Linked DNA regions of Pelodiscus sinensis. The protein of the gene in region 4 interacts with the protein of the main gene of each other region in a pairwise test. Links are inferred from orthologs where the notes say so. Each region holds a gene or a part of one and is shown on either strand. Other genes may lie near its edges. The genes, in order: PAX6, ABI3, EIF3D and HOMER3.

What was found.
Region 1: the proteins of HOMER3 (region 4) and PAX6 interact in binary tests that used the Homo sapiens proteins (3 or more experiments, as listed by UniProt). The link is inferred for Pelodiscus sinensis from reciprocal best matches to the Homo sapiens genes HOMER3 and PAX6.
Region 2: the proteins of HOMER3 (region 4) and ABI3 interact in binary tests that used the Homo sapiens proteins (3 or more experiments, as listed by UniProt). The two-hybrid records come from large-scale screens. The link is inferred for Pelodiscus sinensis from reciprocal best matches to the Homo sapiens genes HOMER3 and ABI3.
Region 3: the proteins of HOMER3 (region 4) and EIF3D interact in binary tests that used the Homo sapiens proteins (3 or more experiments, as listed by UniProt). The two-hybrid records come from large-scale screens. The link is inferred for Pelodiscus sinensis from reciprocal best matches to the Homo sapiens genes HOMER3 and EIF3D.

Annotation. Positions count from the first base shown.
Region 1 is NC_134714.1:97,376,813-97,384,144, reverse strand, and holds the start of PAX6 (paired box protein Pax-6), read left to right. Parts: upstream 1-4,320; 5' UTR 4,321-4,436; intron 4,437-7,332. UniProt on the Homo sapiens protein: Transcription factor with important functions in the development of the eye, nose, central nervous system and pancreas. Required for the differentiation of pancreatic islet alpha cells.
Region 2 is NC_134739.1:14,541,771-14,549,555, forward strand, and holds the start of ABI3 (ABI gene family member 3), read left to right. Parts: upstream 1-4,779; 5' UTR 4,780-5,126; coding exon 5,127-5,234; intron 5,235-6,708; exon of another isoform or gene 6,709-7,785. UniProt on the Homo sapiens protein: May inhibit tumor metastasis. In vitro, reduces cell motility.
Region 3 is NC_134711.1:93,328,376-93,335,744, reverse strand, and holds the start of EIF3D (eukaryotic translation initiation factor 3 subunit D), read right to left. Parts: upstream 3,004-7,369; 5' UTR 2,850-3,003; intron 1,912-2,849; 5' UTR 1,901-1,911; coding exon 1,778-1,900; intron 1,367-1,777; coding exon 1,321-1,366; intron 210-1,320; coding exon 73-209; intron 1-72. UniProt on the Homo sapiens protein: mRNA cap-binding component of the eukaryotic translation initiation factor 3 (eIF-3) complex, a complex required for several steps in the initiation of protein synthesis of a specialized repertoire of mRNAs.
Region 4 is NC_134729.1:19,308,423-19,316,246, forward strand, and holds the start of HOMER3 (homer protein homolog 3), read left to right. Parts: upstream 1-4,815; 5' UTR 4,816-5,435; coding exon of another isoform or gene 5,436-5,440; intron 5,441-7,824. UniProt on the Homo sapiens protein: Postsynaptic density scaffolding protein. Binds and cross-links cytoplasmic regions of GRM1, GRM5, ITPR1, DNM3, RYR1, RYR2, SHANK1 and SHANK3.

The DNA.
Region 1 (7,332 bases), on a different chromosome or scaffold from region 4:
GAGTCTTGCTAGAACGAGTGTAAGATTTGAAGAAGTTTAAAAAATATGAGGCCACATAGTAGATGCTTTATACTAATCTTACCCGTTGCCCAGCGTACAGAAATAGAATTCTTCCGACTGCTCTGAAGCCCTTTAGATCGGATTCTATACTCAGCGTGGTGAAGTAACTCCGATTTCTAAGTAGTCACACACCCACACACGCCATTTTAATACTATTTTGAATCCTTTAAAAAACAACAGGGGGACTATCCATTTTCTATTGAATTGCAGCAAAACTGAATTTCCAGGATGAAAAAAAAAGCAAATGACATTTGTACATCGCTCAAAGGTTAAACGCAATCCTGTCTGGAAAAAAAACTACCTCACACCATTTGAACTGCCGAGTGATGGTCGGAAAAGCCCGCTACACGCAAAGTATTTAAAAACACGTACCTTGGACAAGGGGAATAGATCCCAGCTAACATGCTAGTCAAGTGTCTCTTTCCTTGGAAGCGAAGCCACATTTCTACCCACGATCTTTTTCCCCCCTGGTCTACGAGGTTGCTGATGGTTTTTACCGTTTATTGTAGCTAGCCGGGGACCCTGCCGTCTATGCAATGCCACAGTAAACAAATTGTTCTGATGTGCTTATTATTATTGCTCAAGTTCTGCTTGGATAGAGAATTAAAGCTCATTATTACAGAGTGTGTTGTGAATTGCTCAATCTGTGGGAACACCGGGGTTTGGGGCATCCTTAAAACCCCTTCCTGCCGCAGTGTAAATCAAATGTGTATCATGCTTATAAATGGGTAACACGTTGCTGTCTCTCTGCCCTCGCCCGAGCCACAGTGGCTGTCACAGCGCTCAGGGATACCGCCCGGCAGCGCGCAGCGAGCAGCTAGCGGGTTCGCTGCAAGGCTGCTCCCTCCACGTCCATCCGCGCTCTGCGCCCTCGCTGGAGCCTCTGCCTCGTTGGCGTGTGGCTCTCTGCAAAAGGGCTTCGGCTGCTCCTGGCTGGGGCCGGGTCCCCGCACAAGCCCGGACCCAGACGAGCCCCGCTCAGTCCACAAGAGGCGTCCCGCTTTCCCAGGGCACAATTATCTGCCCGAGAAAAAACTGGCGCAACCGTTTCCACGCAGGGTGCTGGCTGGGCTCACTCGCTGCCGCTGGCTTGCGCGCTGCGGGGCTGGCCACTCCCTGGGCTTCGTGGCAGACCGCCAGTCAGCCTGCCCCTCCGGGCCCCTCACGCGTGGTGCGCGGTGGTGAAAACACGAGGGGTTCACCAGGCCACCGACACGTGCCATGGTTGTGCGGTGGGCTGCGTGCCCCGCTGCGGAGGGGTTAGGCATTGCCCCCAGCCCCAGGGGCAGGGCGGGGAGCGAAGCGAGCCCGGGATCCCGCTCGCGGAAACCCGCCGCCGGTCCCGCCCGCATCGCGGCCCACGCGAGGCTGCCTGGGCGCAGGCTGCGGTTGCCGCCTGGACTTTGTGGCCCTGCACACTGCGGGGATCCCAAAGCCAAGGGCGGGCCCGTGCGCCTGGCTCAGTCCGTCCCTCCCTTCCGCCCCTTGGCGAGCGCTCGGAAGGCAAACAGAGCCACGCTCGGGTGTTGGCCGGGGGACTGTTTGTCTGCCTGCGCCAGGGCCCGGCCAAGCAGACTTGGCTTCACGCCTGATGGGTTTCTGGAGAGCGGCGCGCTTTGGAGAGCAGGGGAGGCAGCACCTGGCCCTGCGCTAGGAGCCATCTCCTTTTATTGACAGCCAGATAAGCAGGCGGCAGCCGTGGTGTTTCCAGCGCTTCCTTCGAGAACCCTGCTGGGTTGCAGGGATCCGGAGTCCCTTAATAGCAGCGACTCCAAACAATCCGTGAAACACCTTCCTGACAGCCCGCGCCCGGCCTCGCCTTTCCACGCGGGCAGCATTAGCCGCTCGCTAACCCGCACTAGGGCCCCTCCGCCCGGTGGCAAAGTGAGCAAACAGACGCCTGGGCGGAGGGGGAGCCGTCCAAACAGAACCCAAATTGTGTGTGAACGGGGGCCGACGGCCTCCCGATGCCGAGCGACGCTTGGCACAGCCGAGAAGCGCTGCTCCCCCCGCCGCCTCCCCACCCTCGTCTTCGACATGTTGCCCCACGCTTAGCATGCGAGCCCTCGTTTTCCAGGGCATTCGCAACTCAGCCTCACGCTGAGCAAATCCCTGGGCCAAAGGAAGGGCGGAGAGGCTTCGCGTTGCCTACCCCCCAAATGGCATCCAAATATTGGCTTTTGGAAACATGGCCGATCGGCAAAGAAACCTAATTCAAACGGGCAAAAAAACGCTCTCGCCCAGGGGAAAGTCCGCATTATAACCAATATCCCGATAGCCTGGTTCCAACTGCGTAGATCCGATACAGGAACATTGTCTGCAAAGCTAGCCACTAAAAACCGATTGCAAATATACTGTCCAGAGGAGAACTATACCCAATATTTTGTTAGGTAGAGAAGGGACGTAGTGAAAAGAATCTGGGTACTTTGTAATAAAAAAACAAATCCCTTTCAAAGACTACCTCCCATGGAACTAGCAATCCCCGACAAATCAAAGACAGAATGCAGGTTCATGAAACATTTACGTTCAGTTCCATAAAACCGTCGACTAGGCTGTACCTCTTTTCTGATCAATTATTTACCTCGACAACTGTGTGCAAATAATGGTATTTCTGTCTTTAATGGGACAGGAGGCAGATAAGAGGAAAACCTAGCGGAATAAGTACAAAGAAGGCTCCCTGAATAACCACGGAACCTTTTTTATCTTTTCTTCAAGATTTAAAGTAAAATTCGTGGTGCGGTCATTTCCAAAAGCTATTTTAATAAGACAAGCATTGATTACTGCCGTTTTGCCAAGAGCCAGTCGATGACAAGAGAAAATGCCCAATGCTGTGACAATGTAGAGCAAGTCAATGTCACCATAATCCATGCATTGTAATACGTTTTAATAGTTAGAGTAAGAAAAGAACCACACCTGTATGCTGTAGAAGTAATCGTTCGCTATTTGCCAGCCCCAGATACAGATGTTAGACATTCTGTTTATCACATAACCGCCGAACAGTGCGGTCTCTGTTCTCCCCAAATGGTTAATTACATTACAACGGATTTTGCCTTTTGAACCTAGTTTTTAAAAAGACCAACTGGAAGGTGGAGATAGACAGCAAGCAGTTCCTGCTGGTAAAAGTTCTCGAAAAGCGATTGGTAAAGCATTTGAAGAAAGTGTTCTCCCCTCTCTGTCCTTCGCACCTCAGTCTGAAACAGGGCATTTATGAACTCATTTTTAAACGTTCAAGGAAAAAGTCAAAACTCAGCATGAGTTCCTTCTTCTGAAGCAGTTAAAATGTATTGACACCCGCTTGATAATAAACCAACCCATTTTTCTACTTAACTTTGCAAACATGTATTTTTAAATACCGCTCTGCTGCTTAATAAAGACTGGCTGGAGTAGGGGTTCATAATCTTATTCCTGCACTGCAATAATCCTAGTAGCCAACCACAAATAAACATTTTATTTTCTACCTGACTGGACCTACTCAGTACACGAAATCCGAGACGCAATAGCATCAATGGACTTTTAGTGATAACTGGGGGACTGGATCTTTTCTGACCTGTGCAAGGCAGGCACAGGGGCCACCCGAAAGGAGGGTGAAGTTACCTTAAAGTTTTGGAGCGTGGCAGAGAAAGGGGTAGCTCTCTCTAATCGTTCACAAGGGTCTGATAGATCAGTTGCCACCGCAACTTGTGCTGTGAAACAGCCTGTCTTGCAAGTAACACTTCAGGTGGCAGGCTGAGTTAGGAAGACAAGCGTGCCTTTGGAAAAGATGGGGAGAGGGGGAATAACCACGCACGACCATAAGGTACTAAAGGTGAGGCCACAAGAAAAGACGGGAAAGTGCAGCAAGGTGAACTTGGATATTCGAAAGTCTGGCCATCCTGCTGTAGCTAGCTCCGTAGCCTACGGCTGCTACTAACTACAGCTGCAGGAACCCCCGGAAAAGGTATTTTACAGTGTAATACAGCATGCACTGTGTGCCTTGCAAGCTGGGAATGCAATGCCACTGGTGAGCATTAATATTTCCATAGAATAATATGGTGCCTTAAATACTCCCCGGATTCAGGAGGAGCAGGCAGTGGGGGAAAGGGTTTAGGCCCTATATGCCCGTTGTTATCTAAAATTTCTTATTAGCTCAGCTCTAACTACTGTCCTCCATGACGTCACCGCGGCCGCCCAGCCAATAGGGGAGGCGCTGGCGTTGATATTAAGGGAAAGTTAGTGCAAAGCAAGACACCCTCTTTTTTACTGTCATTGACATTTAAACTGTGTGGCAGATTCTTATGTAGAAATTGGCGATCAAACCTGCCAGTTATCTACAATCGGCAAGGTAATAGTGTGGGAATCGGCAGGTCAGGTTCATCTGTCTGCACTCTCTGTTCCAGGTAACATTTTATACTCCTTTTCTACAGTCATTACTAGTGCCACTGGCTTGCTCTGAAAATAATAATCCGACCCTCTCTCTCTCGCTGAATCTTTTGCCTGCTTTGCTGTGTCTGTGTTCCTCTGTTTGTCTTTGAAATGGGCCGAGTACAGGGACTGTTTTAAAGTTGTGCTCTTTTCTGGTACTTACAAAATACATCAGTGTCTATATTAGCTGGCCTGAGAATGAAGTCTCGCATATTTGGGCGGAAGACTTTTGCTCCTGTTCACCGCTGGTTGCGAACACGGCCACTTCTGGTGCAACTCAGTTATTCGTGTAGGCTTCATCACTCTGTATCCGTTTTCTCGCCTTTTGTGTAGGTTTTTTGTAACGTTTTGCAAACCCCACTCTACAACAGGTGGGGAGGGGATGCCCCTTGTGATCTCGAGCAATTAACTCGTCTGTTTGGAAACTGAGTCTGAAACTTTCCACGCTTCCGGGGAGTGTGGGTACTTGAGCGGCCGGGCGCTATCAATATTTGATTCGCTTCTCGGAGTTCAGCTAGAAATGCAAGAATGCGGCTCACGGCGTTGGGTAGCCTTTTAAATCTCCCGACCGTGTGATCTGCGCTTTGCTCGGGAAGACCTGATCATTAGCGATTTGCACTGAGGTAGAACGGCGGGGACTCAAGTTACACTAAGCCCGGTCACACCCTGCCCTCGCTTCCAGGCCGGCTGTGGCCACAGCGAGCCCCGGGCCCTTGGCGAGTTTGATAAGTTACAGGGCGCAGCGCAGGAAACCGCGAATCCTTAGAAACTGGCTGGCTGGTTCTCAGGCGAGCCCGGTCCCGGTGCCTTGCGTGCGCTGCGAGGTGTGTTTCACACTCAGGCTGTGCAGGTGTGTCGATCCAGACAGCCCTGCTCAGCCATGCCGTGCATGCACATGCGTGTCATTCCACACACGCACTCCCAAAGCCGCCCTGCTATTTCCTTCCACAGCGAATCAGCCTCAGAAGCTAACACGGGACGGTTTTAAAGTTTCAGCGTAGGTTGGGGGGCGAAGTTTCCACGCTACCCCTGTAAGTGAACGGACCGATTTTGGTTTGCATGTTGTCTGGGGGCGGGTGGGGGGGGGGATTCAGTGTTCAGTCGCATTTTCTAACGCCCCCACGGAAGCGCAGTTTTATTTGGAAATGAGAGCTAAAAGTGGTCTAGCTGGAGGCAGGAGGGGAGGGGGAAGTGGGCTGCACACTTCAAATGTTTCGCCTTTTTGCCTTTGAGTCTAGTTCCTCCGCTTTATACTTTCGAGATCTGATTGGGAGCTGTTCCGAGGGGTAGCTACTTTGGCTAGCCCGAATTCGTGAGCGCACGGAAGTTCTGTAGAACCTGTGAATGGAAACAGACCCTAACTCACAATCGCAATCTTTCCTTGGTAATTTCTGCGGTGTGCACTAACGAGGGGGCGAAAGGGAAAGAGGGAAATCCCTCTACTGTAGGTAGACAAGTGTAGGGAGCTCACGAGAGCTTTTCAAAAAACTCAAAATGGAAATCCGGAAACACAATTGACCTACCCTCCCTGTTTTCCTAATATTCCTCAAGGTACTCTAGCAGGAAGGTTCGCGGCAGTGCCTCCCTCTGATACACCGATAAATGGACATTCTCCTTCAGTAATAAATCAAACACCATCCATCTCAGATCCTCCTCCCTAATTAGAGATGTTTATTGGAGATTGTGTTTATCCAGCTGTCATGCCGAGAAAAAGCTGTGACATAATTACCTCTGACCAGATAGTCTTTTACATGCATATTTCATTGACATATAATGCGATTGGCTCGCATTAAAAATGACAAGATCAAATGTTGATTTTACCAGCTGTAATAATATTTCTGATTATTAAATTAATTGAAATGCATCTTTCAGATGGTCCAAATTCTGGTAACGGATTGTGAAATGAAAGCTTTGAGTCATTTATTTCATGGTGACATCAAATAATGGTGCGAGTGAAGAAATATGGGAAGTTACTCAAATAAAAGCTACTTGTTTTTAAAAGAGAATTAATCTTCAGTTAAATAAAACACTTTATATCAACCAAAGACGTACCTACACCATTTTCATGTTGTCACAGATCCCACCGATTTACCGTTTTGCTTCTAATCCAAAAGGCCTATCTATCTATCTATCTATCTATCCGCCCAAATTGTCTTAAATATCTCTAGTTCATATTAACAATGTCACTTTTAAAATGTGCCTCTAGCTGCGGGGAATAAGATCTTGATTCATTGGCTCCCTTAGCCTTGCCAGCGTTTGTGTAGCCATCTGTCTGTGTCTGTTAGGAAGTGATGATAAGCTACGAATTACTCTGTAATTGAAAATATATTTTGGGGGGGAACTGGTTTTACCAATATCAAGAGTGTAGGCTTTTTATCCGTTCTGCTGCCCGTGTTCTCCAGTCGCTAATAAAACTCAAATTGAGCTCCTTAGTGACTTGATTAACAGGCAGATTAACTGTTACGGGAGGTTTGAACAGCTTGTCCCAATCAATAGCATTTAAAATGCCCGTCAGGATGCGCTTAGCTCGCTCGCTCTCTCTAAAAATAGGCTTTTCTATCAGGTCCGTTTGCACGACATTTTTTCACATATAGAATCAAAGGCTGTCCCGTATGGAAACATGTGTGTTCGTCTTCCAGATTCAGAGACAGCAGCATGACTTCGTTAGGGTCCAGAAATACGTTTTTATTCTTGCACACAAAGCTGTGCTCTATGCAAAAGACCAACATAAAAGAGGTTAAATCGATTCCAAACTTTTTGCAGATTGTTTATAAACTAGAAAAGCTCCACTTAACTCAATGTCCTGTGCACTAGAGGTTTCAAGCACGGTTCCTGTGTATACAAATAGGCATTCAGTGTCCCGAAGGCAGA
Region 2 (7,785 bases), on a different chromosome or scaffold from region 4:
TCGGCAGCCTCGTTCGCCGTCTCCCCCTCAGAGACAACCCGCCTCGGCAGCCTCGTTCGCCATCTCCCCCTCACACCACCCGCCTCGACAGCCTCGTTCGCCATCTCCCCCTCAGAGACAACCCGCCTCGGCAGCCTCGTTCGCCGTCTCCCCCTCAGAGACAACCCGCCTCGACAGCCTCGTTCGCCATCTCCCCCTCAGAGACAACCCGCCTCGGCAGCCTCGTTCGCCGTCTCCCCCTCAGAGACAACCCGCCTCGGCAGCCTCGTTCGCTGTCTCCCCCTCACACAACCCGCCTCGACAGCCTCGTTCGCCATCTCCCCCTCAGAGACAACCCGCCTCGGCAGCCTCGTTCACCGTCTCCCCCTCAGAGACAACCCGCCTCGGCAGCCTCGTTCGCCGTCTCCCCCTCAGAGACAACCCGCCTCGGCAGCCTCGTTCACCGTCTCCCCCTCAGAGACAACCCGCCTCGGCAGCCTCATTCGCCGTCTCCCCCTCAGAGACAACCCGCCTCGGCAGCCTCGTTCGCCGTCTCCCCCTCACACAACCCGCCTCGACAGCCTCGTTCGCCATCTCCCCCTCAGAGACAACCCGCCTCGGCAGCCTCGTTCACCGTCTCCCCCTCAGAGACAACCCGCCTCGGCAGCCTCGTTCACCGTCTCCCCCTGAGACAACCCGCCTCAACAGCCTCGTTGGCCATCTCCCCCCTCACACAACCCGCCTCGGCAGCCTCGTTCGCCGTCTCCCCCTCACACAACCCGCCTCGGCAGCCTCGTTCACCGTCTCCCCCTGAGACAACCCGCCTCAACAGCCTCGTTGGCCATCTCCCCCCTCACACAACCCGCCTCGGCAGCCTCGTTCACCGTCTCCCCCCCCCACAACCTGCCTCGGCAGCCTCGTTCGCCGTCTCCCCCCTCACACAACCCGCCTCGGCTGCCTCGTTTGCCGCCTCCCCCCCACATAACCCACCTCGGCAGCCTCGTTCGCCGTCTCCCCCCTCACACAACCCACCTCGGCTGCCTCGTTCGCCGTCTCCCCCCTCACACAACCCGCCTCGGCTGCCTCGTTCACCGTCTCCCCCCCACACAACCTGCCTCGGCAGCCTCGTTCGCCGTCTCCCCCCTCACACAACCCGCCTCGGCTGCCTCGTTCGCCGTCTCCCCCCCACATAACCCGCCTCGGCAGCCTCGTTCGCCGTCTCTGCAGAGCAAAGGGGAAAACCCAAAGGATGACAATGGCGGGGGAGGAGGGAAGGAACCGGGGCGTCTAGTGAAACACAGATTGGCTGGGAGTGAGGAGGGGGATGCAGCTGTGAACAATCCGAAGATCGTTGTGGGGCGTATTTACAGGCCCGGTGTACGTGAGACGTGGCGGGTAATTGCCCTGCTCTGGGGAGGCCTCCTTTGCTATTCCGTGGCCGGGTCTGGGCCTGGCGCCGTGGGGAGACCATGGACCGGTTGAGGAGAGTCCAGAGGGGAGCAACAAAAATGAGAAAATGTTTCGAAAACCTGACGTGGGTGGGACGGTTCCAACGCCTGGAGAGGTTTGGTCCTGGGGGGGACTTGACAACAGGCTTCAGCTCTGGCGAGGGCGAGGCTGTCGTCACAAGCCTGGTGCCCCGGGGCTCCCCCATCCCCTGGAATAGGGCTCACGCCGCAGCCGCAGGGCTGGGTTAGACGCAAGGAACATTTGCTGGCTCTCGGGGGAGGGAGCTCTGGAGCAGCATCCGGGGAATCCCCATGGGTGGAGGCTGGGGGAAGACGGTCAGGGCTGGGCTTTCGACTCTTGGAGGTCCTTGCTAGAACGACGTCTGATTGGAGCAGCCTAGGAGCATCTCTCAAGTGCAGATTGGCTACCCCCCCCCGGGCCATCGGCCAAATGGAGAAGGGCGGAGCTGGGGGAGCTGGCGGCGCAGGGGCAGATGAACCCGGCCTCTGTGTCTACTGGCAAGTGCTCGCATTGGGAGACTCTCCAGCTGGGCCGAGCTGCCCTTTGATCTGCCCAGAGGGGCTGGGATGGAAACCCCTCCCCCCCCGCTGCACATCGTACCGTGGACTGGACGATACCCAGGCTGGGGCTGCGTGTGGCTCCGCGGCGGGGCGGCTGCGGGGCAGCGTGAGGGCACTGCCAGCCCCTCCGTGAGCTCTGGCCGGCCGAGAGGAGTCCGTGGCCCAGTGTGAACTGTCCCGGCTCAGCGCGGGTTAGATCGGAGGGTTGGCCCGGGCCCGCCTCTGCTGGAAACCTGGGTCCCGCCAAGCAGGAGGAAGCCACGTCCTAGCGGATTTCGTCCCTAACTCCTGCGACAAAGCTCCCCCTCCACCTGGGGCCTGAGCTCTCGGGGGTTGACTTGCCTCCCTTCAGACACCGGCTCGCTGTTTGTGGAGACTCCCATCGCAGGCCAGCACGGGGAAGAGGGGAAACCAAACTTCCTCGTCTTTGCTGCCCCTCCCGGGAGTGCAGGGAGGACAAACCCTTGCACCCAGGGCCGGATTAAGGCATGAGCTAGCCAGGCAGCTGCCCCAGGTGCCAACCTATGGGGGGCGCTGGATGGCAGCTGTGAGGGGCGCTGTGCAGCCGGGCGCGTGGCACCCCTTAGAGCTGCCATCAGGCGCCACACAGCCGGCTCCCAGGGCAGGGGCTGCGTTAACCCCCACGGCGCCGGCCAGCAACGCCATTACCCGCATGGCTGTGGGGCCCTGCACGGCCAGGCTCGTCCCGCCCCAGGCGGCCCCGGGCTGCGCACCAGCAGCAGTAGCCAGGCTGGGCCGGGCCGGGCACGTGCATCCTGCCGCCGCCAGCTCCACGTGCCCTCCCCCTCGTGCTGGGCGGGGGCGGGACCATGCATGCACCCTCCCCCGCACACCAGCACGGGGGCGAGGCCGCGCATGCACCCTCCCCCAACCCAGGGCACAATTGAACTATCTGCCCGGGGCGCCGGAATGGCTTGATCCAGCCCTGCGTGCACCCAAACCGGTTCTTCCTAGTCGTACAATGGGGAGCTGCTGGCGAGAACCGGGCCTGTCCTTTACCGCAGGCTCCGGCCCAGGGCCCCCGCAGCAGCCGCTGTCTGGAACGTCTCTGGTAACCGCTACAAATCCACAGGCCACTTCCCCACGGGCCACGCCCTTCCACCCTGGTACCCACCTGCGCTTTCTCCTCCCAGCCTCCCCCGCCCCTCACTCTCCTCAGCTCCCTCCTCGCAGCAGAGCAAGCAGAAGGAAAAAGCCCTTTTAAACCAGCCTCAGTCCGGCCCCTGTGAGTCTGGAAGCCTCCTGCTTGGTGCTAAGTGTTTTCATTGGCCTGATTGCGCTGACTGATTCTAGCAGGTTCCTGCTGGTTCTGGATCAGCCCTCGTTAGTCTAGGCTGGGAACAGAGACCTATTTAATCCGGGGCTAATAGATTTCCCCTCCACTGCTCCCCGGTAGCCCGACTCGGTCACACTCCCCACTCACCGCGTGCCGTGGGGCCGGGATTTGACCCTGTCGATGGCAGAGCCGCATTATGACTTTGGTGGGCCATAGGCACCTTTGCCTTCGTGGGCCCCCCCCCATAATAATATCAATTGTAAAAATGATTTTTGATATAACTTTAAATACTTCAACATTTTTTTTTCTGTTTTAGGCAAAATTGAATCGATTTTCGTGGGCCCTAAAAGTTTCATTTTTTTCTGATGTGAGAAAAATATTAAAACATTTTGACTATGTTCCCACTCGCGGCTTCTTGCGCAAGTAATATGCAAATGAGGCTAAGCGTGGAATATCGCCGAGCCTCATTTGCATACCTAATGAGCCACCATTTTTTCAGAAGAGGCTCTTGCGCAAGAAGCGTCTACACTGCCCCTCCTTGCGCAAGAAAAACCCTTTTGCGCAACGCCGTTCTTCCTGTCAAGTAATAGGTGTAACGGCGTTGCGCAAGGGGGCTATGTCTAGATTGCATCCCTCAGCACGGAGCTTTGCCGGAAAAAAGCGCCAGTCTAGACGCGGATCTTTCGGAAAATAAAGCCTTTTCTGAAAGCTCCCTTATCCCTTATTTTAAGAGGGCCTTTTGGAAAAGGCTTTATTTTCCGAAAGATCCGTGTCTAGACTGGCGCTATTTTCCAGCAAAGCTTCGTGCCGAAAAAAAGCGGCAGCCATTTTTATGCTAATGAAGCGGGGGAGATTTAAATCCCCGCTTCATTAGCAATTGCGATACGTCTAATTTGCATCCCTTTTACGAAAAGAGGGTGCAATCTAGACGCAGCCGAGGGTTTTTCTTGCGCAAGAGCCTCTTCTGAAAAAAATGGTGGCTCATTAGGTATGCAAATGAGGCTGGGCGATATTCCACGCTTAGCCTCATTTGCATATTACTCCCGCAAGAAGCCGCGATGCAGACGTAGCCTTTCTTCGACCCTAAAAGGTTTTTTTTCCTTCTGATTTTAAAAGAAATTAAAACATTTTCGTGGGCCCCTAAAAGTATCGCGGGGCCCAGGCACTGAGCCTACTGGATACGTCGGCCCTGGTCGCTGGGCTACCGGGGAGTCGCAGCTTCACCCCAAGCACAGCAGCCAGCTTCGGCTGTACACGTGGGCGCGGACACGCGTGGCCGCCCGGGAGCCCGTTGCGGGACAGTTTAGCTCCCTGGCCGCTGGGACTTTCTTGGAATGTTTCTGTTTCCAGCGCCCCTTGTTCTTCTGCCATGACTCACGTCCCCTCTCGCTGTGGCTTTCCTCGGCCGCCCCCAGCGCTTCCCCTGCGGCTGGCAAACCCCGCCCGGACGGCCCCTCTTCCCCCCACCCCTTCCCCCGGAGGATCACCGCAGGGTCTGACACCAGCTCCCCCCGGGCCAGCTGCGCCCCGCGCCCCACAGCGCGTGGGAGCCACGTTTCCTCTCCGGGCCGTTCCTAAGTTTCCCGAGTGCGCACGGGAAGGGGGGCGCACGGATCCCAGCGGGCGCTGAAAGCCGGGTCCCTCCGAAGCGGCCCCCGGGCTGGCGGGGCGAGTGGCCGGGGCAGGCTGGGGCCCCCCGGTGGCGCAGAGGGGCAGGTGCGCAGCGGGGTGGGACTGCGCGCCCCGCCCGCCAATGAGCGCAGCGCAGCGCCCGGGCTGCCTGGGGAGCCGCTGGCGCGCAGGAGGAAGCGGCGCGCAGCATGGCCGAGCGGCAGCAGCATGAAATCCCCGCGGCCAGGCAAGTCCTGCGGGACAACTACAGCAACCTGCACAGGCTGGCCGACTACTGCGAGAGCAACTACCTGCAGGTAGGCGGGGCCCGCGGCTGGGCCGGCCAGGTGCCGAGATCCCGGGCATCTCACACTTAGGGGCATGAAGGCTCCGCAAAGGGGCAGCTGGGCCGGCTCTGCCCAGTAGAAAGGGAAGGACAGAAAATGATCTTGCCTTTGGGGAGGCAGTACGGCCTAGTGGCTAGCGCCCCACACGCCGAACTTGGCTTTTGGCCCCGTCCACACAGCCCCCTGCACTGGGATCAGACTTGCACATCGCGCCTCTTATTTCGAAATAGGCAATTTTGAAATCTGGCCCGTCTCCACGGCGCCGAAGTTCGAAATAAGAGGCTCTGTCGCACCTTCCCTTATAGCGCCCGTTATTTCAAAAAATCTCCCAAAATAGCCGTGCAGTGTAGATGCAGCCTGCGAGAAATCGCTCCGTCCGTTGTGCCGCGGTGTCCGTCTGTCCTGCGTGCGCTGCCTGTAAGCTCAGAGGGCCGAGTAACCGTGTCTGACTGTGGCCGTGTTCTGGGGGGAGGTGCAGTCTTAACTCAGATCCGACCCTAAGGGGAACCTGATCTTCAACTTGACTTGCAAGTGTCCACCTGGCGCCTGCCTTCTCTTCCCTGGGCCCTGGCTCGCTCACGGGAAAGGCAGGTCTTTGCAGAGCGACGCCAAGCCCCGGGGCAGGTAGCTCCTGCATCCTCCTTACAGTCCAATGAGCTCCAAGTAGAGGGGGAACTAAAGCATAAGCAGATGAAGTGACGTGCCCAAGGCCACCGGGGTTGTGGGTGGCAGAATCCCGGTTGGACCTGGGATCTTGTGTCTCCACATGCGGTATCTATCCGCTAGCTCCCCCCAAAGCGCTGGGCTCTGTGCCAGTAAAGATCAGATCAACCCTAACAAGGTTTCCCCTCGTTCATTTCTAGCCCTCCGCACAGGGCGTTAACGGGGACGCCTGCCCAGTTCCTCAGGTACAAGTGGGGCGGGAGGCGGGGAGATAGGACACTTCCGTGGGGGGGGGGGTTGTTCCGCGTGGTGACATGTGTCAGGAAACGCAGAGGTCGGCGCTGAAAGTCTGCACCTGTGAAATAGCAGAACCTCCCAGGGGCACGAGCAGCAGCCTCGGCTCCCCGCTTGGTCCCCGCGAGAATGTTCCGAGCTAGTTCTGGGGTGAGCGGCTGTCTGGTGTGACTGCTTCCCGCCCAACCTGCGGCGTCATTCCCTGCTCTGAGCGCCCGGCGCTGGAAACCCACCGCCTCCCCTTGCCCGACGGGGTGGGAGCGCAGTCCCGCAACCGGATCTTATTTCCTTGGCCCGTGAGAGCTGAGAGCAGGGCTCCCTGCTGGTGGCTGCTCTACCGAAGAGGTTACAACCCAAATACACCAGGGGAGCAGGGTCCTGATTGTACAGGAGGGGGGCCGAGGTACAGAGATCCAGGTCCCAATTCTCAAAGGGATTTAGGAACCGCACTCCCTTTGATTCCCATGGACGTGAGGTGCCTAATTACCCTGGGAAGGTCTGGGCTCCACGCTCAGATGGCAGAAGCAGGAGTTGAATCCCAGTGCCCGGAGTCGAAGTCCAGCGTGCCTGCCCCCCCTCGTCCAAGAGGGCTCCAAAGAGCTGTCTGAACTCCAGAGGGGAGGGATGAAACTCCTCCCTCTGAGATGCAGCCACTTCTGGGGTGGAACACAGCCAGCCCTGCCCAGCCCGCCAGGGCACAAAGAAGAATCGCGCCGCGACCTGTTGGAATTTCCATGCCCAGCAAGACAGTGTTGGGAAAAGGGCCAGGACAGAAGCACATTTTGGATGCCCACATCTGGCCAGCAGCTTGGTTTTGCGCCCCCAGCCCGGGCTGAGCCAGCACTGTGACGGCGCAGCGCCCCTGCCAGACGGCTCGGCTGTGGGCCGGTTCCCAAGCGCGCATGAAGCTAACCCGCCCCTGCTTAGCTGGAGAAGGCACCTTGCAGGGCCTCAGTTCCTAAAGGAGATGAGGTTTTACAGCTGGATCCAAAGCCCATGCAAGTCAATGGCCAGTCCCCGCAGCGCCCTCCACATCATGCTGCAAAGGAGGCTCCGTTTCCTCCTGCCCCAATGCAGGGTTCTAGGGCCACATCTGTACGCACGGCTGGGTGGGGACCGGGGCGAAGGCATGGTCTGTTGGCAGAAGCCGCTCGCCCGCGGACGTAGCGCCGGGCCCACAAAGGTGGACTAGTCACCCCCCGAGTGCCACCCGTCGCGCCACCCGAGGCCGGAGTGTGGAGCCAGCCTAGGTGTGTTTCCCCCTCCCGAGGGACAACGCTCTGGCCTCCCTGCCTGCGACAACAGCCGGGCAAGGCGGGCGAGGCAGCACCTTCTCCGGCACCATAGAGGCGCGTTATCAAGCTGCACAGAGCTGGGAAGGGCAGTTTGGCTCCTGCTGCACCCGAGATTGGGTCCCGTGCAAGATTCCCCCTCCCACCCCACTCCCGCCTCTCTCTAATCTTCGGGGACCAGCCCCACGCCGCCGCTGGCCAACGGGGACTGATGGTCGCCTGTGTCCTCCCGCCCAGGGCAGGGCGGTGCCGTTTCAGGCAGACAGTGACAG
Region 3 (7,369 bases), on a different chromosome or scaffold from region 4:
GTTTTGGTTATAAGCAAAATCTTTACAGCAATTTTACTGCTTCAGAAAGGTTTCAGGAAATGTGCAAGGTACCTGTGCAAATCTCATACGATTCCTTTGGTATGCCGTCTTCTGTGTACGTGCTGTGTCCACAAGCTGGAAGCTGGTCTCATCCTCCTCATGAAAATATGCATACTGGCTCCCCCCGCCAAATTGTGATGAGTACTTATCTGAGGACACAATGACCCAAATTACCTTGTTGCTGGTCTGCAAACGATGCCTCATGACATGAGCGCAGAGTTAGCCCTCTTACCCTGTCACTTGGCTCACCCCCGCTTGAAACTACAGCTAGGGCTTTTCCCTTAGAAAAGCCTGGGAGCTAGGGGGTGAGGCTTCCATCCTTGTACCATGTCACAAGGAAGCTCAAAGCCAGAAGCAACCCCAAGGATAGAGAGGATCTCAAGTGCCTCTCTCTCCAAGGGTAGGGCACACTTCTGAGTTAAAGAGACAAAGATGAGGGAGGGAAGCAGGCATGACTAATGTTCTCTCTAATTTTTCCCAACCCTGAGCGGAACGAATGTTATGTTCACCAATATGGAAGTGATGTGTGGCACATCGTCTGCATATTGGTGTTCATAACGAAATTCATGTATTGAGGGTGGGGCTGAAGGGTTGGTAGTGTGGGACAGGATTCAGGCCAGGGCAGAATGTCGGGGTGCAGGAGTGTTAGGACTATGGCTGGGAGTTTGGGCTCTCAGGTAAGGCTGGGGATAAGCAGCTTAGGGCTTGTTCACCAACAGAAAGAGAGTTGGGGTGCAAGAGCTCTGACGGGGGGTGCAGGCTCTGGGATGGAGTAAGGGAAAAGGGACTTAGGGCTTCAGCAGAAGGCTGGAGTGCAGGGGTGTGAGGGCTCTAGATAAGGGTCCATCTAGACCCTTGAGGTTTGGCTGGGTTTGGGAGGGATTCAAAGTGGAGGGTGCTCCGGGGCTACTTCATTGAGAGACGACTCTCCCGGCTCTCTCTTCTTGCAGCAGCATCTGGGCTGGGAGAGTAGGACAGCACCTCTCCTGGCAACGGCATAGCAGGAGGTGGGGTGGGCTGCTGTAGTATAATTGGGGCTGGTTCAGGACTGGACAGACCCAGCAGGTTGGCACAAAAGCTAAACTGGGCCTGGGATGGCCCTTCCCCAGCTGCTGCAGGGCCTTCCTAGAGACCTTGTGTAGTGCTAAATAGGGACATGCGTGACCGCTTGGCCATGCAGTTTACAGGAAACTTAGAAGATGGTTAAGAAACCTCATATGAAGTATCTTAGCAAAGAGCAGCCACCAACATAGCACTTACTTGTGTATCTCTTGTCCTGGTAAGTGGCTCCTGTCCAGTCTGCAACCTAATAAAAAAGACAACAGAAACAAACTTGTTGAGCGTGTGTCATCCAACATCTTATACTCTCTTTTGCTCCACAATCTCTTAATTCACTCAGCCACTCAGCAACAGCAAACAGTGCTTTCTATTCCAGAGTCACACTTACAATCATCTTATAACAATCAATATTCTTTCAAACTTCTTGCTTTGCTTATGCACACTATCAAGAGGTCTTGGTTCATACAACACCTGCAACAGGGATAAGGAAGCTATAGGGAGTGGAGCACCAATGTGTGTGTAGAGGCATTATTAGGAACAGTATAGGACTAAGACAGCAAATATGATAAGAACAGCTAACAGGAATTTCCAAGTAGCCTAACATATGGGCATTAACTGATTACTCCAGTGATTTATTTAGTAGTGTTAGCACAGGTACCTTTCCCAGACGATCCCCTTTGCTGAAGGGCTGATATGGCATATCTTTGAACTGCTCTGGAACAGCACATGGACCCCACCCGGAGGGGTTGTCCTGGATCACAGGCGTCATGAATTTAGCCATCTTCTAAAATCCTTGGGAAAAAAAATGGGGTGGAGGTAGTTCAAGTGTTTGGAACATTTTAACTCTACAAAACTGCTGGGAAACTTCATTGGATACTAATGAGCAATGACAACCATTCAAAAGACAATAGGTGGTACCACTTTTAATGGCCACAAACACAGAGAAAAGTTCGTAGGGCTAGGATCATTTCCCAGAATTTCTGGGGTTAAGGAAAAGGTGAAGGTGTCAGCTCTAACAGCACTGTCGGTATGCAATAGAATAATTACTTTCCTGTGTACGAATCTCCTGAACTGAACTGTTAGACAAAACTGAACAAGACAAGTGCCTGTCTGTGACCAATATAAAAAGCCCTGGAAAAAGGTTTCATATCTCTCTTTACTGTGCATAATAGCACAATTACTTCCCAGATGGATTTTTCTTTCAGACCACACCCATGCCTTTATGCTTGAGGATCTACTATTTTTATACTTATTGTCCTAGCTAGCATCTGTGAAGCAGCTATTCTTATTCCCAAAAATATCTAATCCTGTGTCATCAAGACCCAGCTCCTCAAAGGGATTTAGGCCCTTCTCACTCAAATCAGGAGGTGCTAAGCTCCGAAACACCCTCCAGGACCTGGGCCTACGTGCTCGGCCATGTGTAGATCCGGCAGCAGCGAGTACCGCAGGTTGGAGACAAGCCGTGAGCCAGCAGGGCCCGGCTGTGAGGCTGCGGGAGCCGCGCCTGGGAAACAGGGGCCAGCCGAGGGGACGGGCGAGCAGCCCAGGGGGGGAGCCGGGCCCGGGCCCAGACAGGGTAGAAGCCGCGCGCTCCCGCCCCGGCAGGCCCGGCGAGGCGGTGTCTGGCCTGGACGTCCCGTGGCCAAGGCGGATCCGGGCCCCACAGACTCCAAGTCGCGCGCGCGGCCGCGCGGGCCTGTTCCGGCCGGAGCCCTGCGCGCGCCCCTCACCTGTGCGGGCCCAGCCGGGTCCCGATGGAGGCGGATGCGGGTCGGGGGGGGGTGAAGGCTGCGGGAGAACCTTAGCTAGGGTTACACGCCGGCGCGCACCGCCCGCCACGTCATCACCCCGCGCCGCCCCCGGACGCATCGTCGTAAAAGCAAAACAGGGCTATTCCGCCCTGTGGGGGAGGCGAGCGAGTTGCCGTAAAGCACCAAAGTGGGGGAGGAGAGCGAGTTGCCGTAAAGCACCAAAGTCCGCTCCCCCCGGCTGCCGCAAGGAGGCCGGGTCGGGCCTGGCTCCGCTGCTGGGGCTAAGCGAGCACCCGGGTGGTTGGGGGCAGGGCCGGTCGAAGGCCCCACGAGTGTGGAGCCGCCTCATCCTTGTGCCTCGGGGCCGCTGCTGCAACCGCGCCCGGCCTGTCCGCAGCGCGCTCCGAGAGGCTCCTGCGGGGTGAAGCGGGGCGGCAGCCCAGGGTGCGGGGCGAGCCCGTTCAAACGGGTCCCGGCGGTGGGTTTGGGTTACACGCGGCGCCCGCGGCGGGGCCTGGGGATGGCGCTTTTCGCATCTCTGGCTGCCGTGGCTGGACGTGAACTGCCGCAGGAATTCGCTCATTGGGGTGGGTGAGCGGGGCTCCTCCAGGCTGCCAGCTGGGGCTGTTCTACATTTCAGAGAGGGAGCCTGCGCTAGTTCTTATCCGCTAATCGAATAGTCGATGGAAATCAATTAGTTAATCAATATTTAACGTCCCTAGTAAGAACGGCCATACTGGATCAGACCACTAGTCCGTCTTCTGGCAGTGGCTATTGTCAGGTGCTTTGGAGGCAATGAACAGAAGAGGGCAACGTCTAGTGATCCATCCCTTGTTGCCTAGTCTCACCCTCTAAGCAGTTGGATGTTTAGGGATATTTGGACCATTTTGGCTAATAGCCATTGATGAACCTATCATTAACGTATCTAGTTATATTTTTTTTAACCTAGTTGTAATTTTGGCCTTCACAACTTCCTGTTCCACAGGTTGACTGTGCCTTGGGTGAAGTACTTTCCTGTTTTTTTTTAAAAACCTGTTGCCTATTATTTTTGTACCCTAGTTGTGCTGTCTGAGGGGTAAATAACACTTCCTTCCTGAATTTTTTCACAGCACTCATGATATAGATCTCTATCATTTCCCACCTTAGTTGCCTTTTCTCAGTAAAACAGTCCTCACTTTAAAAATCTCTCCTATGGAAACTGTTCCATATTTTTAATACTTTTGATTGCCCTTGTTTGCACCTTTTTAAATTGTAATATATCTTTTTTGAGATGTGATCAGAATTGCACACAGTATCTAAAGTATGGGTGTATTATGGATTTATATAGTGGCATTATAGTATTTTCTGTTTTTAATTTCAATCCCTTTCATAATAGTTCCTGACATTATTAGCTTTTTTTAATTGTTACTGCGCACTTAGAAGATATTTTCAGAGAGCTATCCACAGTGACTCCAAAAGGATAATTTCGATTCCCTCCATTTTGTCTGTATAGTTGGGATTATTTTTTCTAATGTGCATTACTTTGTGCTTATCAACAATTAATTTCATCTGCCATTTTGTTACTCAGCTGCCCAGTTTAGTGAAATCCCTTTGTAATGCTTTACAGTCAGCTTAACTTTTTATTCATTTTATATCTACAAATTTTGCCACTTCACTGTTCACTCTGTTTTCCAGATTTACAATTATGTTAAACAGCATTGGCCCCAGTACATACTCGTGGAGGACCTTGCCATTTACATCGCTCCCTTCTTAAAACTGATCATTTATTCCTATCACTTGTTTCCTGTCTTTTAGCCATTTAACTGATCCACGAAAATACTTTCCCTTTTATCCCACAACTGCTTAGTTTAATAGCTTTTGATGAGAGACCTTGTCAAAAAGGATTTCTGAAAGTTCAAGTACACTATATATAATTGGATTAGCCCTGTCCAAATGCTTGTAGACACCCTCAAAACATTCTAGTAGATGGGTGAGGTATGCCTTACCCAGAGCAGTTCTATTACTTCAGAGGACATATGTGGCTCTCTTTTCTCTCCCAGTCTTACCTGCTGAAAGGAGGGGAGAATCACCACATGGTATAAAACCCAATGTTTATGTTGTGCAGAATTTGGGATTATATTTTGTTTTACTAGGTTATCCGTGTATCCCTTGTTTTAGCAATGAAGTTTATTTAAGTCATCCTTTCCCTCTCTTAGTTACCTAAAACAAAATACTTGGGTGTCTGGCTTTTGCATGGTGTTCTAGTAGTAAATTAATCCCTTACATTCTTCATTATCTCTAAGATATTTGGTACTTTATCTGGTCAGCACTCATCTAAACCTCTGATCTCAAGAAGATTGCTTTTTGCACTGAGGTTTTTGTTTATAATATCCAGGGCATCTTTTTCTGTCTAAAATCAAACAGCAAAGAATGCTGATCCAACCTGCTTAGTAAATTAAATATTTGCAATTATATAGTGTTCTTTATCTAATTATCTCAAAGTGCTTTACAAATAAAAATTAGGCTTAAAAAATGTCCCTACTAGGAAGGGTAAATATTACCCACATGTTACAAATAAAGAAAATTGAGGTATAGACATTTTCCAGTAGTTCACACAGTAAATCTCTGGCATAGTGAGGAACAAAATGCCCATCTCTAGACTATATGGCTACGTCTAGACTGGCATGATTTTATGCAAATTCTTTTAACGGAAAAGTTTTTCAGTTAAAAGCATTTGTGGAAAAGAGCATCTAGATTGGCACGGATGCTTTTCCGCAAAAGCACTTTTTGTGGAAAAGCGTCCATGTCAATCTAGACATGATTTAGTGCAAGAAAGCCCTGATTGCCATTTTCACCATCGGGGCTTTTTTGCGCAAAACAGTTTTTAGGTGTCTACATTGGCCCTCTTGTGCAAAAACATTTCCGGAAAAGGGCTTTTGCCCGAATGGGAACATCAAAGCATTTGCGCAAGAAGCACTGATTTCGGACAGTAGAACATCAGTGCTTTTGCGCAAAATCAAGCGGCCAGTGTAGACAGCTGGCAAGTTTTTCCGCAAAACTTGCCAGTCTAGACACAGTCGATGTGTATTGGGCACTATTTGTTGCAGTCCTGTCAGTCCCAGGATATTATAGAGGTAATATTTGTTACTGAACATTTCTGTTGGTGAACAAGACAAGCTTTCTTAAGCCAAGACCCAAAAAAGCTCTGTGTAAAGTTGAAAGCTTGTTTTTCTTACCAATAGAAGTTAGTCCAATAAAATATATTACTACGCCCACCTTATTTGTCTCTGTGTGTGTATCAGTCAGGGCAGCATAGATGGATAGGAATGATGGTCTAGAGTAGTTTTTCTCAATAATTTGGGGTTGATGACCCCTTATTTGAAGGAAAAAAATTCTGTGACCCTTTAACATTTATTATAAAAGATAAATAATAATGCCAAACCTATTTAGTTAGTTTTTTGTGTGTCTGGAGAGGTTGACAAAATACTTGAAGGGTAAGTATGTGCAAGAAGAGGAGCAAAATTTTCTTTGCTTTAGGAAAAAATTTTGAAATAACGGGCACGCTGTTAAGATGCAGAAAACACTATTTTGGGATACTGGATGTATCCTGAAATAGTGCTGCTGTTTAGACGTACCCTCAGAGGCATACAAAGTTTCTCCCATACTTAATCCATGACTGCTAAATCCTTCCAGAAGAGATAGAACAAATGCTACTTAAAACCCACAATATCCCCTCATCAGCCACCAGTAAGATATAATATGCCTATAGAAATATACCCTATAAAATACAAGCAATCAGTAATTGTAGTAGACCAACAATCAAGCGGTCTTCACATTAGGGATGTTAAAGGTTAACCAGGATGTTAAAGGCTTACCAGCATGCTTACTGATTAACCAGAGCGCCCCCCGCCTATGGCGGCCCAGCATCAGGGCTGTTGGGCCCATTGCAGCCCCTGTCACCAAGTCACAGCCATGGTGGGGGTAGAATGGCCCCTTCCACTCACAGCTGCTGTGAGCGGGGACGAGAGCAGCCCCCACGACCTGCAGCCAGTGTTTAACTAGTTAAACAACTTGTTTAACTGGTTAACTATTCTGGGTGGTTTTTTCATCCCTACTTAACATGATAAATGCAATGGGCAGATCCAGGGATTTCAGTATGTTAGTAGTAACCCATTAACAGTTTGGTAGGAGCCGCACCAAGCCAATTTCAGTTGTGCCATAGCAACTTTAATTACATACATTCTCTTGACTCTCCTAATGCACCTGATGAAGACAATGAGATTTTTGCCACTGACTTGACTAGCAGCAGGCCCTAAGACCCTATGCAAGTGGCCTGGTAGTAACATAGTCTATAACTAAGTTTTTTTTTTATTCCTCTTAGGGATGAATTAATACATTTTACCTGACAATATTGTGGGTTCAAGTAGGATATTATTGGGCTGACATTCTGCATAGGAGAGGGGATAGTGAAAGGAGCAAAGGCTCAAGATCCAAAGCAGAAAGACTAGGTGAGAAGTGGA
Region 4 (7,824 bases):
ATGCCACCTTATTAAATCTTCCAGTGTCCCCGTGAAGTAAGTATGATCTCCATTATACAAATAAGATTAAGCAATGTGCTCATGGCCACAGATGGAATCAGTGTCAGATCTGTGGATTAGAGATTAGAAATTCCTAACTGATCTTCCTATGCTCACACCACTGGCCACAAAGCTTTCATCTCTCTCTCTCTCATCTTAGTTTTTAAATCTTCAAAGCATTGTACACACACTAACTTAAGTTCCTAATATATTTTAGTGACCTTTACAAGGTATCTCTCCCTATCCCAAACAGCATCATAACCCAGTTTATGTACTTTATTGCTGATGCAAGTTTATGTGCCTTAGAGCATGTCCAAAATCCAGATACCATAACCCTCTTTGTTAAATATCTTTAACTGTCTCTAAAATGTCATCTAAAATGTCTCAGTCTCCTTCTTTGGAGAACGGTCTGAGTTCTCCAGCAGTGAAATACCCAAAGAAATTGCTGTGCTCTCTTGCTCTCTCTGTCTGGTGCCAGAGGCATGCAAAGAATGATTGAATTCTACTGCTTCCTTTTCTCCTTCGAAACATATATATGGCTGCATCTAGACTGGCAAGTTTTTCCTCAAAAGCAACTGCTTTTGCAGAAAAACTTGCCAGCTGTCTACACTGGCCGCTTGAATTTGCGCAAGAACACTGATGATCTCATGTAATATTGTCAGTGTTCTTCCACAAACACTATGCTGCTCCCGTTCGGGAAACAGCCCTCTTGCACAAGAGGGCCTGTGTAGACAGCTAAAAACTGTTTTGCGCAAAAAAGTCCCGATGGCAAAAATGGCAATCAGGGCTTTCTTGCGCAAAACCGCGTCTAGATTGGCATGGACGCTTTTCCGCAAAAAGTGCTTTTGTGCAAAAGTGTCCGTGCCAATCTAGACGCTCTTTTCCACAAATGCTTTTAATGGAAAAACTTTTCCGTTAAAAGCATTTGTGGAAAATCATGCCAGTCTAGACGTAGCCATACAGTTTGCGTTCTCCAGTTCTCAAGTTGCCTTAGCAGCAGAAGTTTCCAGACTTAGGTTGAACCCACGTCTCCTGGGCAGGTGCTCTTTCCTGCCACACTACCACATCTGCTTAAAAAGATAATTGAAAAAGATGTCTAGAAACCAGGTGAATGCAGTCTAATGACCTATATAAATTACATAGAGAAAAGACCAAATTATTTGTTGTTTAAAGCTTCCTTCACACTACAGGTTAAAGTATTTTTACACTAACGCAGAATGCCAATCTCTCCTTTTGAATGCATCTTTTATTCCCTAAAACATCTATTTTACAACAAGGACCTCTATTTGCACACCAATTGTGGCCAGCTATTAAAATTTACTAAACATCCAACAATGCTCATGTTCCCAGATTTATATTTGGCAGTTTTGCAGGTGCTAATTAATAGCAGTTTGCACTTTTCAAGGAAAGAGCTAATGGTGGGACTAGCCATCAGCCTTTATTAAGTAATGGAGTTAGAGAGTAAGAAGATTTTACATAAAAAATGTAGAACTGAAAATGAGAAGGCTGAAGAGCTGCTGCAAAACCGTGATGCTAAGTCCTCTCTGATTGCAGTCACCCATTGTAGCAATGAAATGTAAAGAACTAGTTTGAAGGTATGTATCTTGGACAGTGAATGTGCTTTGAAAGGGATTATACTGCCATTAAGAATACCCTTTAAGTTTAGGCAGTGATCTGTTGTGTGCTCTTGTCTGTGTTCTCAGCCACTGTTTAAAGAGCTGTGGGAAGATTAATGGTGCAAACTTGACAATGGCTGGGTAATTAATGACATGAGGGGGGATGATCAAAATATCTAATTTCTGGTCTCTTCTGAAGGGCAGAAGATATTAATTGTCCTCCTTCAGCAGGAGAAGGCGCAAATGGAACAAAAACCCTGTTAAAGGACATCCTTACAAGGTTACTAACACCTGATTTTAGTGCAATTCCTGCTGATCTCATTACCCTAATTTTAACATGTAAAATAATTAGCTTCTAAGAAGAGCCAGAGATAACCTACTGTTAGCAGGTCAGTATGAAAAATACTGTGTGTCCTACTTTCAGCAGAGTCTTCAGTGGTTTATTGTAGTCCCTTTATCATTGGTGGCCAGGTTGTGTGTATGAAGACAGAGAAAATGGAGTAGAAGGAGTAAGGACCCAATTCATTCATGTCCTGGTGTTGAACTTGGCTCTGGGCCTGAGAGAGGAGGCAGTCTGGGAACTGCTGGTTAGTCTGCCAGCTCAAGTTAAGAGAGGCATCAGAAACTTTTCACCTGTTGCCACAAACTTTCTGACAGTGACTATTCAAGGGTCCACTTGCAAAATTTCAAAATGTTCCCATCAGTTCTAACACTTGTTCAGCTCCACTGGTGTCAAATGTTGGGAGCTCTGGCATAGAGGTATCATTGGTTTGCACTGCTATTTTAAGCATTGCATTATCTCACTTTTCTCAGAAAAGGTCTAGCTGTAGTTGACGTGATGGTTAAAACACTGGCACGTGCTTTGTCCCAGCACTGTGAATGCTGGTGACAAAGGATGAGGATTCTAGATACATTTGAAAGGCAGGTGGAGGGGATAATAGAGAGAGGAGGGGACCAGCATCAGTACTGTTGCAGTATCTAAAGGTCCGAATTAGGCACCTGGCTACATTATGCTAGGCACTCTGCACAAATATAACAAAAAGTCCCATGCCCCAAAGAGCTTACAGTCTTATCTAGGGAAAACCTCCTGTTTGTCATCCTTATATAAGCTCCATCTAAATACTGCTCAAAGAACAGCTGCTTTTCCTGAGTTTCCTGGGGAAATGACATGGGCACAGCTTATCATTATAGTGCAAGCCTGCAGTGCCCAGAAATTATGAGGGCATGGAAAGTAAAGTTCAGAACTGCCTGGAATTAATGCAAACTCTTTTCCTTATTAATGTGGGCGACCTAATAAAATACAAGCAAAAAATGAGATTGGACTCGTGCAGTAGCCACACATTTGAACACCACAGCCAATCTGCTCAGGTCAGGCCTGCTGTTAGACTAGTGGGAGGTTGAAACACCGTGGTAGTGCCTTTTGTGGGAGCCCTGTTTGTGGCATTGCTATAAATCAAGGCTGATTGGAAGAGCTGTGTTCATTGGGATGGGGAGAAGCCCAGGAATACTGTCTTGCTGCAGTAAATGTGAACATTTGCACAGCGGTTGCCTGCTCTAGTGAGTGCATGTGCTCACACACTCAGACCCAGGTACAAATGTAGCTGCCAGAATTTAATGGGCAAAGTATCTACAACAGACCATTGATTCTCCCCACCCCATCCACCTCCAGTGTAGCTGGTACTGTTCATGGCGAGATGTGATTGACTGATTTATGTTGGTCCCTAAGACAGAAAAACAGTGCCTTAAATTTTGCTGACATAATGTAGACTTACTGTAACTGTATGTTCCTTATTAACAACTTGGAGACAAATATATACCCTGTGTTGCTCTGCTTTGTGTCTTATCATTTGCAGTGGCACAAAGGAACAGGGGTCACCAAATTAAATTAACAGGTAGCAGGTTAAAAGCAAACAGGGAATTTTCTTCATGAAGCGCACAGTCAACCTGTGGAACTCCTTGCCAGAGGATATTGTGAAGACCAGGACTTTAACAGAGTTCAAAAAAGAACTAGATATAAATCCATCAATATTTATTAGCCAGAATGGGCAGGGACAGTGTCCCTAGCCTCTGTTTGTCAGGGGCTGGGAATGGATGACAGGAGAGGGATCATTTGAGGATTACCTGTTCTGTTCATTCCCTCTGGGGCATCTGACACTGGCCACTGTCGGAAGACAGGACACAAGGCTAGATGGACCTTTGGTCTGACCCAGTCTGGCCGTTCTTATGTAACGGGGATGTAAAATGTTGCCCTTCTAATCTGGTAGCATTTTGCACTGGCACAAATGATTGCAAAAGGTACAAGTCACCAGAGAGCTGAGCACATAATCATCCAACTATATAGGGCTATGCTCATCCCTGGTGTAATGCTGGGGAAGTCCGTGGACTTTCACCTGGGGAGGGTCTGGCCCATTGTGTTTGAACAGCACTCAGCACAATAGCGTCTCAGTTCTGATTAAAGCCTTGAGTATTCTCATAATAGGTATGTTTGCTGCAACTGCTAAGCTACTTATTATATGCATTAAGATATTTTTAATACCGTCTAATCTGTTTGCATCCTTGGGGCCTAGTGCTTCTGTTTGTCTGTCTCCATCTCTAGATTCTGGTGTGTTTATCCATCCAACCTTCCCTTTTGTTCATACATTTTCTCTAGAGGCCTCTGTCTTCATTGCTTCAAACCTAGTTCAGCTATTTTCACCTGTGCAAAGTGGATGTAAAATGTAACCAGATGTACATGCCAGTGTTTCGCACTCGCCCTGCACAGCTATAGATGTCAGTGCAAGGAACAGAGCAATAGTGGGATCAGGCACTGTCTTTCGGAAAGGTTCTGTCTCTAGGCTCAGATAAAAGGTGTCGGGTTTGTTTTTTAAAACGTGTGCCAACATGCTTGAAAATGCTAGTCTAGAAAGAGCAAATTGTATTTTAACATGGACTAGCTGACCAAACAACTTCCCTCCTAGTCTAGACAAACTCAGAGGCTGTGTCAGATTACAGCATAGGGGTCAAACCCTGGAAGAAAGCCCAGGAACGAAGGCGGTGGGAAGTGGGGTTGGGGCATCTTTGTGTGGTGCTGGTAATTTAGCTGCTTGGTGTTACTGTGGGTGCACAGTACAGCTGTGCCCAGCAGATGGTGCCTCTGAGCCAGATGGAACCCATTGGAAATAAAGTCAGGAGAAAGAAAGAGAAATGTGACCGAGATGGGGCAGTTGGCAGAGGCAGGAAGCGGATAAAAAAATGAGAGAGAGAGAACAAAGAAATCGCGATCGAGAGAGACAAACTGTGGACACAGCTTCACTTTTCGGGCTGTGGAAAAAACTTACAGAGCAACTCCGTCGCTGGAATAGGAGGGAGGCGGCATTATTGCAAAGGGTTAGCAAAAGGAGCAAATAATCTTGTGGCTGCTGCCCATGCTGAAGGGAAGAGGGGATCCCCGTCAGCAAGATCGAGGAAGAAACTGCCTGCCGGAGATTGCAACATTTCCGTAGCAAAGTGTGTTCCAAAGTTCTCTCTAGGATCTCCTGGGCTGTAGCTCTTGGTGGGGAGATCTCCCACCCAGGAAGGTTGCCCTAACTGTCACCCCTCCCGTGCATGCTTTGGGATTATAGGTCATTTTTGTTCAAACAACAAAACTAGCGGATTTCAAAGTGAAATTCCGGAGGAAATTTATAGAGCATCCGGATCCGGAGAAAGAGAAGAGGAAGGGAAAAATAAATAAAAACGTGGAGTGAATCTAACACGATCCAAGAAGAGACCAGGAAAAAAAAACCTGACACCGACTTGGAGATGGGGTGAGATTAGCAGTTTGGTGGTTGTGTTGTTTATTGTATTCATGATGTATAAAACGTGGTGTGTTTTTAATATAGCAGAGTCGAAGAGATCAGGATTTCCAATTGCAGTAAAGAAATTCAAGTTTACATATAAAAAAAGGCCCCTAACCTTTCGGGATTCAGGATGTAGATAGTTGCAGAGATTTGTAAATTACTTTGTGACCCAGGATGTGGCTGGAAGTCTCCAGGGGAATGCATATGTTGTATACAATTCAGAATGGCCCTTTGGGGTGACATAAAGGACCTACTGCCTTTGCAGATGTTTCCAGAAGTTAGAGATTTCTGATTTTGTTTTGCTCTTGTGACCTCGGTATTCAGTAAAATGGACCCAACTTACATTTCTAAGTGGGTAAATAGTGTGACTGAAAAATCTCTGATCATAACCCGTAAATTCTTTCGGGGTGAAATATATTCAATCAGGCACTGGCATAGAAATGGAAATGTAGCTTGATATTTGATTATGCACTGGTAATAACCCCAACTGTGTAATTTTAAGGATCTGGCATGCTGCTGTGAGTAAGTTGCTTGTGTAATGAACACTTCTGGGCTGCTAAGAAGCACGCTGGGGCTGGAGGAAGCCCCTGCCTGTTCAATTTCTCCAAGCCTTTGAGTTTGACATTAGAGGAGAAATAAGTAACAGTTTAGTGGTTTGTGTTTCTTTTGCTGGGTTTTTATTTCTCTCTTGGGCAGCCGGATAAAAAGACTGAACAGGGTGAAACCGATTCAGATGGCAGGAGGGACATAGATACGGATTCTGATCTCAGAGTCTCAGTGTGAACCTAGAGTAAATCTATTTAAGCCAGTGGCATTTATACTTGGCCAAGTTAGATCAGAAACAGTCCCCTGTTTCTTGCAACTGCTGTGGCTACACCCAGTGGCTATGCAATTTCTTTAGACGGGTGCCACTTCTCATGCATAATGTTGACGCTGCGGTCATTGTGAGGGTAGTTTTAGATTTTACTACAATGATAGCGTCAAGGCAGCAATGCTATAGTTCATGTGCAGATGACATTCCTCCCCGCCTGGTTTTCTGTCACAGAGAACTTCAGAGCTGGAAGGTCTTTGTCTTGTGCATAGATTTACATGGAAATGTTGAATAACCAGCAGCAGGTTTAGTCCCCTGGATTGCTAAGGGAGTAGGAAAGCGGTAGCTTTGAAATGATTTTCCACCAGTCAGTTTTAGTTGATTTGTATTTTAAGCTAGCGGTCAGTCGTTCCCACCCCCCTCCCTTTTGACTCTGAACACCTCATGTGGTCAGATTTCCTTGTAACCCTTGTCCCAGTAATATCCAGGGTGTAGCTTTCATGGATAATTCATTCCTGAACTCTAACATATCCCTGGTGTGTGTAGGTTTTGAAGCATTGCCTTTTCACCTTTAAATAGCTAGCTGTAAATGTCACTTGGGTCACAGGAGAAGTGAATTCATTTACCTCCTAGCTGTGTCCATACTGGGCATTTGGGTCCACATTTCAAACTAGCATCGGACAGGCTCCGGAAATGCTTAGTGTTGGCTGCTGGGCGTGTTTCGGGAGACCTGCCAGTGCTGTCCAGGAGCAATGCTGAAAACAGTGAAGTCAGAGCTAAAGTGCATTGGCAGAGCTGTGCAGGCTTCCATGTGTGTGCCCCTGTTGTACAACGACACATGAGCAGAAACGTGGTGGAGCCCAGTGGAGTGTTCACAGATGGTAAAGACTGGAGCAGCATTAGCAATAGGTGTCTGGTAGAAATGCTTAGCAATGCTGCTGGGCCTTTAAGTGCCCTGGTTCCCTTCCCCAGGCCTGAACTTGCATGCCTGGCATTGTGTTCCTCAGGCTAATCCGACTGGGGCATAATCAGCCAGGATTCCTCCGGAGCCTTTTATCTACAAACAGGCTGGGAGAGAGTCACTTTCAACCTTCATGCTGAGCTTTGCTGGTTAATTTCACCACCACAGTGGGTGGGAGCTTTCTAGGAGGGACAGGCTGCGCTGCTCCATTCATCCACAGGGATGGGGCCGGGTTGCGGGGAGGAGGCAGGGAGGACTGCAAGTCCTGTGTCTCTGCACCCCATCTGGCCACTCAGCTCACCATTGCATTCCCACAAAGTGGTGGTGTGCAGGATGGCTCGGAAGTGAGCTACAGAGCTAAGAGAGCTTGTGAGCCGGAAGAGAAGAGGCAGTATCTCTTCTGGTTAAAGCAAAAGGCTGGAAGTCAGAACTCCCTGGATAGCACTCCCAGATCAGGAAGGGCATGTGGTCTAGTGGCTAGAGCAGCCAGGCCCTTAAAGACCCGCTGGCTGAGCCCTGCAGAGACAGAGCAAATTGGGTTGTTAGCAAGCTACACCCTGTTCACTCACTCCCATGACT